2 linked regions of the Pelodiscus sinensis genome follow. The protein of the gene in region 1 binds, or shares a complex with, the protein of each later gene. Links are inferred from orthologs where the notes say so. Each region holds a gene or a part of one and is shown on either strand. Other genes may lie near its edges.

Evidence for each region.
Region 2: the proteins of CCKBR (region 1) and GNAI2 are in contact, whole or in part, in a cryo-EM structure (PDB 7F8V), measured with the Homo sapiens proteins. The link is inferred for Pelodiscus sinensis from reciprocal best matches to the Homo sapiens genes CCKBR and GNAI2. Residues at the interface, in NP_795344.1 of Homo sapiens: Thr87, Thr89, Arg152, Ala155, Ile156, Pro159, Leu160, Ala162, Arg163, Val164, Thr167, Ser169, Ile241, Gly248, Leu249, Lys328, Val331, Leu335, His394, Arg396; in NP_002061.1 of Homo sapiens: Glu28, Ala31, Arg32, Glu33, Val34, Lys193, Leu195, Thr220, Phe337, Thr341, Asp342, Ile344, Ile345, Asn348, Leu349, Lys350, Asp351, Cys352, Gly353, Leu354, Phe355.

What each region holds. Positions count from the first base shown.
Region 1 is NW_027466003.1:149,943-153,837, reverse strand, and holds the start of CCKBR (gastrin/cholecystokinin type B receptor), read left to right. Parts: upstream 1-1,446; 5' UTR 1,447-1,589; coding exon 1,590-1,737; intron 1,738-3,895. UniProt on the Homo sapiens protein: Receptor for gastrin and cholecystokinin. The CCK-B receptors occur throughout the central nervous system where they modulate anxiety, analgesia, arousal, and neuroleptic activity.
Region 2 is NC_134721.1:45,351,056-45,354,950, forward strand, and holds the start of GNAI2 (guanine nucleotide-binding protein G(i) subunit alpha-2), read left to right. Parts: upstream 1-811; 5' UTR 812-872; coding exon 873-990; intron 991-3,895. UniProt on the Homo sapiens protein: Guanine nucleotide-binding proteins (G proteins) are involved as modulators or transducers in various transmembrane signaling systems.

The sequences.
Region 1 (3,895 bases):
GCCTGGGTTCTGTGCCTGGCCACAGCCGGACGCCCGGACGCCTGGGTTCAGTGTCTGGCCACAGCCGGACACCCGGACGCCTGGGTTCTGTGCCTGGCCACCGCCGGACACCCGGACGCCTGGGTTCTGTGCCTCGCCACGGCCGGACGCTTGGGTTCTGTGCCTGGCCACCGCCGGACGCTTGGGTTCTGTGCCTGGCCACAGCCGGACGCCCGGACGCCTGGGTTCTGTGCCTGGCCACAGCCGGACGCCCGGACGCCTGGGTTCTGTGCCTGGCCACAGCCGGACGCCCGGACGCCTGGGTTCTGTGTCTGGCCACCGCCGGACGCCCAGACGCCTGGGTTCTGTGCCTGGCCACAGCCGGACGCCCGGACGCCTGGGTTCTGTGTCTGGCCACAGCCGGACGCCCGGACGCCTGGGTTCTGTGCCTGGCCATGGCCGGACGCTTGGGTTCTGTGCCTGGCCACAGCCGGGCGCCCAGACGCCTGGGTTCTGTGCCTGGCCACGGCCGGATGCCCGGACGCCCGGACGCCTGGGTTCTGTGCCTGGCCACGGACAGATGCCCGGACGCCTGGGTTCTCTGCCTGGCCACCGCCGGACGCCCGGACGCCTGGGTTCTGTGCCTGGCCACCGCCGGATACCCGGACGCCTGGGTTCTGTGTCTGGCCACCGCCGGACCCCCGGACGCCTGGGTTCTGTGCCTGGCCACCGCCGGACCCCCGGACGCTTGGGTTCTGTTCCTGGCCAAGGTCGGGAGCCCGGACGCCTGGGTTCTGTTCCTGGCCACCGCCGGACGCCCGGACGCCTGGGTTCTGTGCCTGGCCACGGCCGGATGCCCGGACGCCTGGGTTCTGTGCCTGGCCACCGCCGGACCCCCGGACGCTTGGGTTCTGTTCCTGGCCAAGGTCGGGAGCCCGGACGCCTGGGTTCTGTGCCTGGCCACCCCCGGGCGCCCGGACGCCTGGGTTCTGTGCCTGGCCACAGCCGGACGCCCAGACGCCTGGGTTCTGTGCCTGGCCACGGCCGGGCGCCCGGACGCCTGGGTTCTGTGCCTGGCCAAGGTCGGGCGCCCGGACGCCTGGGTTCTGTGCCTGGCCACCGCTGGACGCCCAGACGCCTGGGTTCTGTGCCTGGCCACAGCCGGACACCTGGGTTCTGTGCCTGGCCACCGCCGGACGCCCGGACGCCTGGGTTCTGTGCCTGGCCACCGCCGGACACCTGGGTTCTGTGCCTGGCCACCGCCGGACGCCTGGGTTCTGTGCCTGGCCACGGCGGGTGCCCCTCCCAGAGTGCTGATCCCTTGGCCTGTGACCCCAGGCCGCCTTCAGCCTGGGGGTGTCGGGCCAGCGCCCTGGGAAGGCGCCGTGTTCGTCTCCCCAGCTGGGCCGGCGCCCCGCGCTCTCGACCCGCATCCCCCGCTCCCAGCGCCGCGTCGGGCCGGGCAGGGGGCGCTGTTCGCTCGCGGATCCGCGGCGGGGCCGGTCCGGCTCAGTCGGTGCCGGCGCTGGAGCCGAGCGGAGGTTCCCAGGGAGGCTCCTCCGGAGCGGGGACCTCGGGGCCGCCCGGGGAGCCGCCCCGAGGCGCCGGCGATGGGCGCGGCCGGAGCCCTGGACCCGCGGCGCGCGAACGAGACGCTGCAGCGGCTGCTGTGCGCGGGGGGGCCCGGCAACGCGTCCGCCTGGAACCGGAGCGTCTGTGACCCGCTGCGGGGCCCGCCCGGGGCCCCGGGCCCCCCAGGTGAGACCCGGCCGCGCCGCGCCGCCATCCGGCCCGAAGGGACCGGCCCGGCCCGGGGCCAGGCTCCCGGGTCCCGCGTTGGGAGCGGGGGGGTAATTCCAGAGCCCCCGCTGCGGCCGGTACCGGGCGCCCCCAGGCCGAGCCCGCAGCTGCCCCCTTGCTCGGCTCACAGCCTGTCCCGCCCCGGCCCATGTGCCATGTGCCCCATACTGCCCAGCGCTGGGGACTCGGCGCTCGCCTACGCCGGGGGGTGCCTGGCCGGGGGTCGCATCCCAGAGGCCCTGTGCCCCGCCCCCCAGGTCTGGGGCGGGCACCCTTGGACGCTGGGCCAGGAGCTGCCTGAGAAATGCACAGGGGGGGGGTTGGGGTATTACCGCTCCCGACCCTCACCCCCGCCCCCCAGACCCTGCCCCCCAGCCCTGCCGGTGCCCCTCACCCCCGCCCCGCAGACCCTGCCCCCCAGCCCTGCCGGTGCCCCTCACCCCCGCCCCGCAGACCCTGCCCCCCAGCCCTGCGGGTGCCCCTCACCCCCGCCCCCCAGACTCTGCCCCCCAGCCCTGCGGGTGCCCCTCACCCCCGCCCCCCAGACTCTGCCCCCAGCCCTGCGGGTGCCCCTCACCCCCGCCCCCCAGACTCTGCCCCCCAGCCCTGCGGGTGCCCCTCACCCCCGCCCCCCAGACTCTGCCCCCAGCCCTGCGGGTGCCCCTCACCCCCGCCCCCCAGACTCTGCCCCCCAGCCCTGCCGGTGCCCCTCACCCCCGCCCCGCAGACCCCGCCCCCCAGCCCTGCCGGTGCCCCTCACCCCCGCCCCGCAGACCCTGCCCCCCAGCCCTGCGGGTGCCCCTCACCCCCGCCCCCCAGACTCTGCCCCCCAGCCCTGCCGGTGCCCCTCACCCCCGCCCCGCAGACCCTGCCCCCCAGCCCTGCGGGTGCCCCTCACCCCCGCCCCCCAGACTCTGCCCCCCAGCCCTGCGGGTGCCCCTCACCCCCGCCCCCCAGACTCTGCCCCCAGCCCTGCGGGTGCCCCTCACCCCCCCCAACAGACTCTGCCCCCCAGCCCTGCCGGTGCCCCTCACCCCCGCCCCGCAGACCCTGCCCCCCAGCCCTGCCGGTGCCCCTCACCCCCGCCCCCCAGACTCTGCCCCCCAGCCCTGCGGGTGCCCCTCACCCCCGCCCCCCAGGCTCTGCCTCCCAGCCCTGCCGGTGCCCCTCACCCCCGCCCCCCAGACCCTGCCCCCCAGCCCTGCGGGTGCCCCTCACTCCCGCCCCCCAGACCCTGCCCCCCAGCCCTGCCGGTGCCCCTCACTCCCGCCCCCCAGCCCCTGCCCCCAGCCCTGCGGGTGCCCCTCACTCCCGCCCCCCAGACCCTGCCCCCAGCCCTGCCGGTGCCCCTCACTCCCGCCCCCCATACCCTGCCCCCCAGCCCTGCCGGTGCCCCTCACTCCCGCCCCCCAGACCCTGCCCCCCAGCCCTGTCGGTGCCCCTCACTCCCGCCCCCCAGACCCTGCCCCCAGCCCTGCCGGTGCCCCTCACTCCCGCCCCCCAGACCCTGCCCCCCAGCCCTGTCGGTGCCCCTCACTCCCGCCCCCCAGACCCTGCCCCCAGCCCTGCCGGTGCCCCTCACTCCCGCCCCCCAGACCCTGCCCCCCAGCCCTGCCGGTGCCTCTCACTCCCGCCCCCCAGCCCCTGCCCCCAGCCCTGCCGGTGCCCCTCACTCCCGCCCCCCAGCCCCTGCCCCCAGCCCTGCCGGTGCCCCTCACTCCCGCCCCCCAGACCCTGCCCCCAGCCCTGCAGGTGCCCCTCACTCCCGCCCCCCAGCCCCTGCCCCCAGCCCTGCCGGTGCCCCTCACTCCCGCCCCGCAGACCCTGCCCCCAGCCCTGCCGGTGCCCCTCACTCCCACCCCCCAGACCCTGCCCCCAGCCCTGCCGGTGCCCCTCACTCCCGCCCCCCAGCCCCTGCCCCCAGCCCTGCCGGTGCCCCTCACTCCCGCCCCGCAGACCCTGCCCCCAGCCCTGTCGGTGCCCCTCACTCCCGCCCCCCAGACCCTGCCCCCAGCCCTGCCGGTGCCCCTCACTCCCGCCCCCCATACCCTGCCCCCAGCCCTGCCGGTGCCCCTCACTCCCGCCCCCCAGACCCTGCCCCCAGCCCTGCCGGTGC
Region 2 (3,895 bases), on another chromosome or scaffold:
TGCTGCATGAGAGCGTTCACCATCACCAAAGGAAGTTTCTAGTTGTCGGGTTTGTGGGGAAAGTGCGAGTCAGTGGTTCAAAATCCACAAGGCAACTAAGAAACCCCACGTGTGTTAAACCAGTCCTGACAGTCTATGGCTGGGGACTGAGGACATTGTAAGTGCAACCCGGCCTCCCCGCTCGCTGCACCCCAACCCCCCACAGAGAGCCCCCTGCTGCACCCCAACTCCCCACAGAGAACCCCCCGCTCGCTGCACCCCAACCCCCCACAGAGACCCCTGCTGCACCCCAACCCCCCACAGAGAGACCCCTGCTGCACCCCAACCCCCCACAGAGAGACCCCCGCTCGCTGCACCCCAACCCCCTACAGAGACCCCCGCTCGCTGCACCCCAACCCCCTACAGAGACCCCCGCTCGCTGCACCCCAACCCCCCACAGAGAGCCCCCTGCTGCACCCCAACCCCCCACAGAGAACCCCCCGCTCGCTGCACCCCAACCCCCCAGAGAGAGACCCCCGCTCGCTGCACCCCAACCCCCCACAGAGAGCCCCCTGCTGCACCCCAACCCCCCACAGAGAACCCCCCGCTCGCTGCACCCCAACCCCCCACAGAGAACCCCCCGCTCGCTGCACCCCAACCCCCCACAGAGAACCCCCCGCTCGCTGCACCCCAACCCCCCACAGAGAGACCCCCGCTCGCTGCACCCCAACCCCCTACATGGAGTCACTTTGCCCCGCCCCGCCCCGCCCACCAGAAGCGCCCAGACGGCCCCGCCCCGCCCCTGGCCCCGCCCCCGGCTCGGCCCCGCCCCGGCAGGGCTCGGCGCGGGGCGGGCGCGGGCGGGCGGCGGAGCAGAGCTGAGCGGCCCCGCCATGGGCTGCACCGTGAGCGCCGAGGACAAGGCGGCGGCCGAGCGCTCCAAGATGATCGACAAGAACCTGCGCGAGGACGGCGAGAAGGCGGCGCGGGAGGTCAAGCTGCTGCTGCTGGGTGAGCGCCCGCCCGGCCCCCCGCCTGGGGCCCCCCCCGCCCCGGCATCGCCCCCCCGCCCGGTGCCCCCCGCCCCGGCATCGCCCCCCCGCCTGGTGCCCCCCGCCCCGGCATCGCCCCCCCCCCGCCCGGCATCGCCCCCCCGCCTGGTACCCCCCCGCCCCGGCATCGCCCCCCCCGCCTAGTGCCCCCCCGCCCGGCCCCCCCCGCCCCGGCATCGCCCCCCCGCCTGGTGCCCCCCCGCCCGGCCCCCCCCGCCCCGGCATCGCCCCCCCCCGCCTAGTGCCCCCCCCGCCCCGGCATCGCCCCCCCGCCTGGTGCCCCCCCGCCCCGGCATCGCCCCCCCCGCCTAGTGCCCCCCCGCCCCGGCATCGCCCCCCCGCCTGGTACCCCCCCGCCCCGGCATCGCCCCCCCCCGCCTAGTGCCCCCCCGCCCCGGCATCGCCCCCCCGCCTGGTGCCCCCCCGCCCGGCCCCCCCGCCCGGTGCCCCCCGCCCGGCCCCCCCCGCCCCGGCATCGCCCCCCCGCCTGGTACCCCCCCCGCCCGGCCCCCCCCGCCCCGGCATCGCCCCCCCCGCCTAGTGCCCCCCCGCGCGGCCCCCCCCGCCCCGACATCGCCCCCCCGCCTGGTGCCCCCCCGCCCCAGCATCGCTCCCCCCCGCCTAGTGCCCCCCCGCCCGGCCCCCCCCCGCCCCGGCATCGCGCCCCCCCACCCGGCCCCCCTCCGCCCCGGCATCGCCCCCCCGCCTAGTACCCCCCCGCCCGGGCATCGCCCCCCCCGCCTAGTGCCCCCCCGCCCGGCCCCCCCCCCCGCCCCGGCATCACCCCCCCCCGCCTAGTGCCCCCCTGCTGGGCCCCCCCCCGCCCCGGCATCAGCCCCCCGCCTGGTACCCCCCCCGCCCCAGCATCGCCCCCCCCCGCCTGGTACCCCCCCGCCCCAGCATCGCCCCCCCCGCCTGGTGCCCCCTGCCCCGGCATCGCCCCCCCCGCCTAGTGCTCCCCCGCCCGGCCCCCCCGCCCCGGCATCGCCCCCCCGCCTGGTACCCCCCCGCCTAGTGCCCCCCCGCCCGGCCCCCCGCCTGGTACCCCCCCACCCCGGCATCACCCCCCCGCCCCAGCATCGCCCCCCCCACCTGGTGCCCCCCTGTCCCGGCATGGCCCCCCCCACCTGGTACCCCCCCGGCATGGCCCCCCCCGCCTGGTACCCCCCCTCCGGCATCGCCCCTCCCACCTGGTACCCCTCCGGCATCGCCCCTCCCACCTAGTACCCCCCAGCATCGCCCCCCGGCCCGGCATCGCCCCACCCGAACTCCCCCCCCCCGCATCGCCCCCCCCGCCTAGTAACCCCTCCCCCGGCATCAGCCCCTCGCCCCAGCATCGCCCCCCCCGCCTAGTACCCCTCCGGCTTCATCCCCCCCCTCCCGCCCCGGCATCGCCCCTCCCGCCTGCTACCCCCCCAGCCGGTGCCCCCCCTGCCTGATAACCCCTCCTGCCCCGGCATCGCCCCCCGCCCGCCCCCCCCCCCCCCGCCTGGTACCCACCCCGGCACACCCCCGCCTGGTACCCGCCCCGGCCTGGTACCTCCCCCCCACCCCGGCATCGTGACCCCCCCCCGCCCCGGCATTCCCCCGCCTGATAATCCCTCAGCCGGTGCCCCCCCTCCTGGTACCCCACCCGCCTGGTGCCCCCCAATCGGTACCCCCCCCCGTGCCCGCCCCGGCATCTCCTGCTTGGTGCCCCCCCCGTCCTCCCCGGCATCCCCCCGCCCGGTGCCCCTCCTCGCCCGTCCCGGGTGGTACCCCCCACCGCCCCAGAACCCCCTGCCAGATACCCCCCCCCCCCGGTGCCCTCCACCTGGTACCCCCCCCACCCCGGCAGCCCCTGGCCGCCCTGCCTGGTACCCCGCTCCCCAGCATCCGCCCCGCCCAGTACCCCTCCCTCCAGTCCGGTACCCCCCCGCCCCAGCATCCCCCCCTGCCTGGCATCCCCCCTGCCCAGTACCCCTTCTTCCAGTCTGGTACACCCCCTCCCGGCATCCCCCCTGCCCGGTACCCCACCCCGGCATCCCCCCCCCCGCCCAGTACCACCCCCTCCGTTTGCCCTGGCATCCCTTCCCGCCCCTCCTCCAGACCGGTACCCCCCCTCCTTGTCTGCCCCGGCATTCCTCCTCCCCTTTCCCAGTCTGGTACGCTCCCTGCCCCTTCCCCAGTCCGGTACCCCATCTCCCCAGCATCACCCCCCTCCCCGGGTCCAGTACCCCCCCATCTGCCCCTCCCCCAGTCCAGTATCTGCCCCAGCATCCCTTGCCCTGGTATCCCTCCCCAAGTCCGGTAACCACTCCCCCCCCTCCGGTCCAGTATCCCTCCCACGCCTGGCCTGGCATCCCTCTGCCAGGTACGGTATGGCTCTGCCCAGTCCAGTCCGCCTGCCATCCCCGCACCCCGTCCGGTCTGCCCTGCTCCACCATCCCCCACCTGCTCCAGCCTGGTATCCCCACACCGTCTGGTCTGCCATCTCTCTCCAGCCCCCCACCCTGCCACCCCCCTCCCTGCCTGGCCTAGGTGAGCCCTGCACCCTGGCTGCGCCGCCTGGCTTCTAGCACCCTCCAAGATGAACCCCCCAGCCCAGCCTCTCCCGAGTTCCCTGCCTGACTGGGGTACATCCCAGCATCCCCAAGGCTCCCAGAGACCTGCCCCCCAACACTCAAGTGCTCCAGCCCACCCAGTCACCCTGTGAGAGCCTGCACCCCTCAGGACCCCCAAATGCCCCCCTGCACCTGCTCCCCAGGCAGGCCCCCCTAGAGACAGACTGCCCCAGGCACACCCGCCAGATACAGCTCCGGCCTCCACCCCACATGTGGCAGCCCCCACATGCCATGGGCCCCCCAGCTCCTCTTCGATGGAGT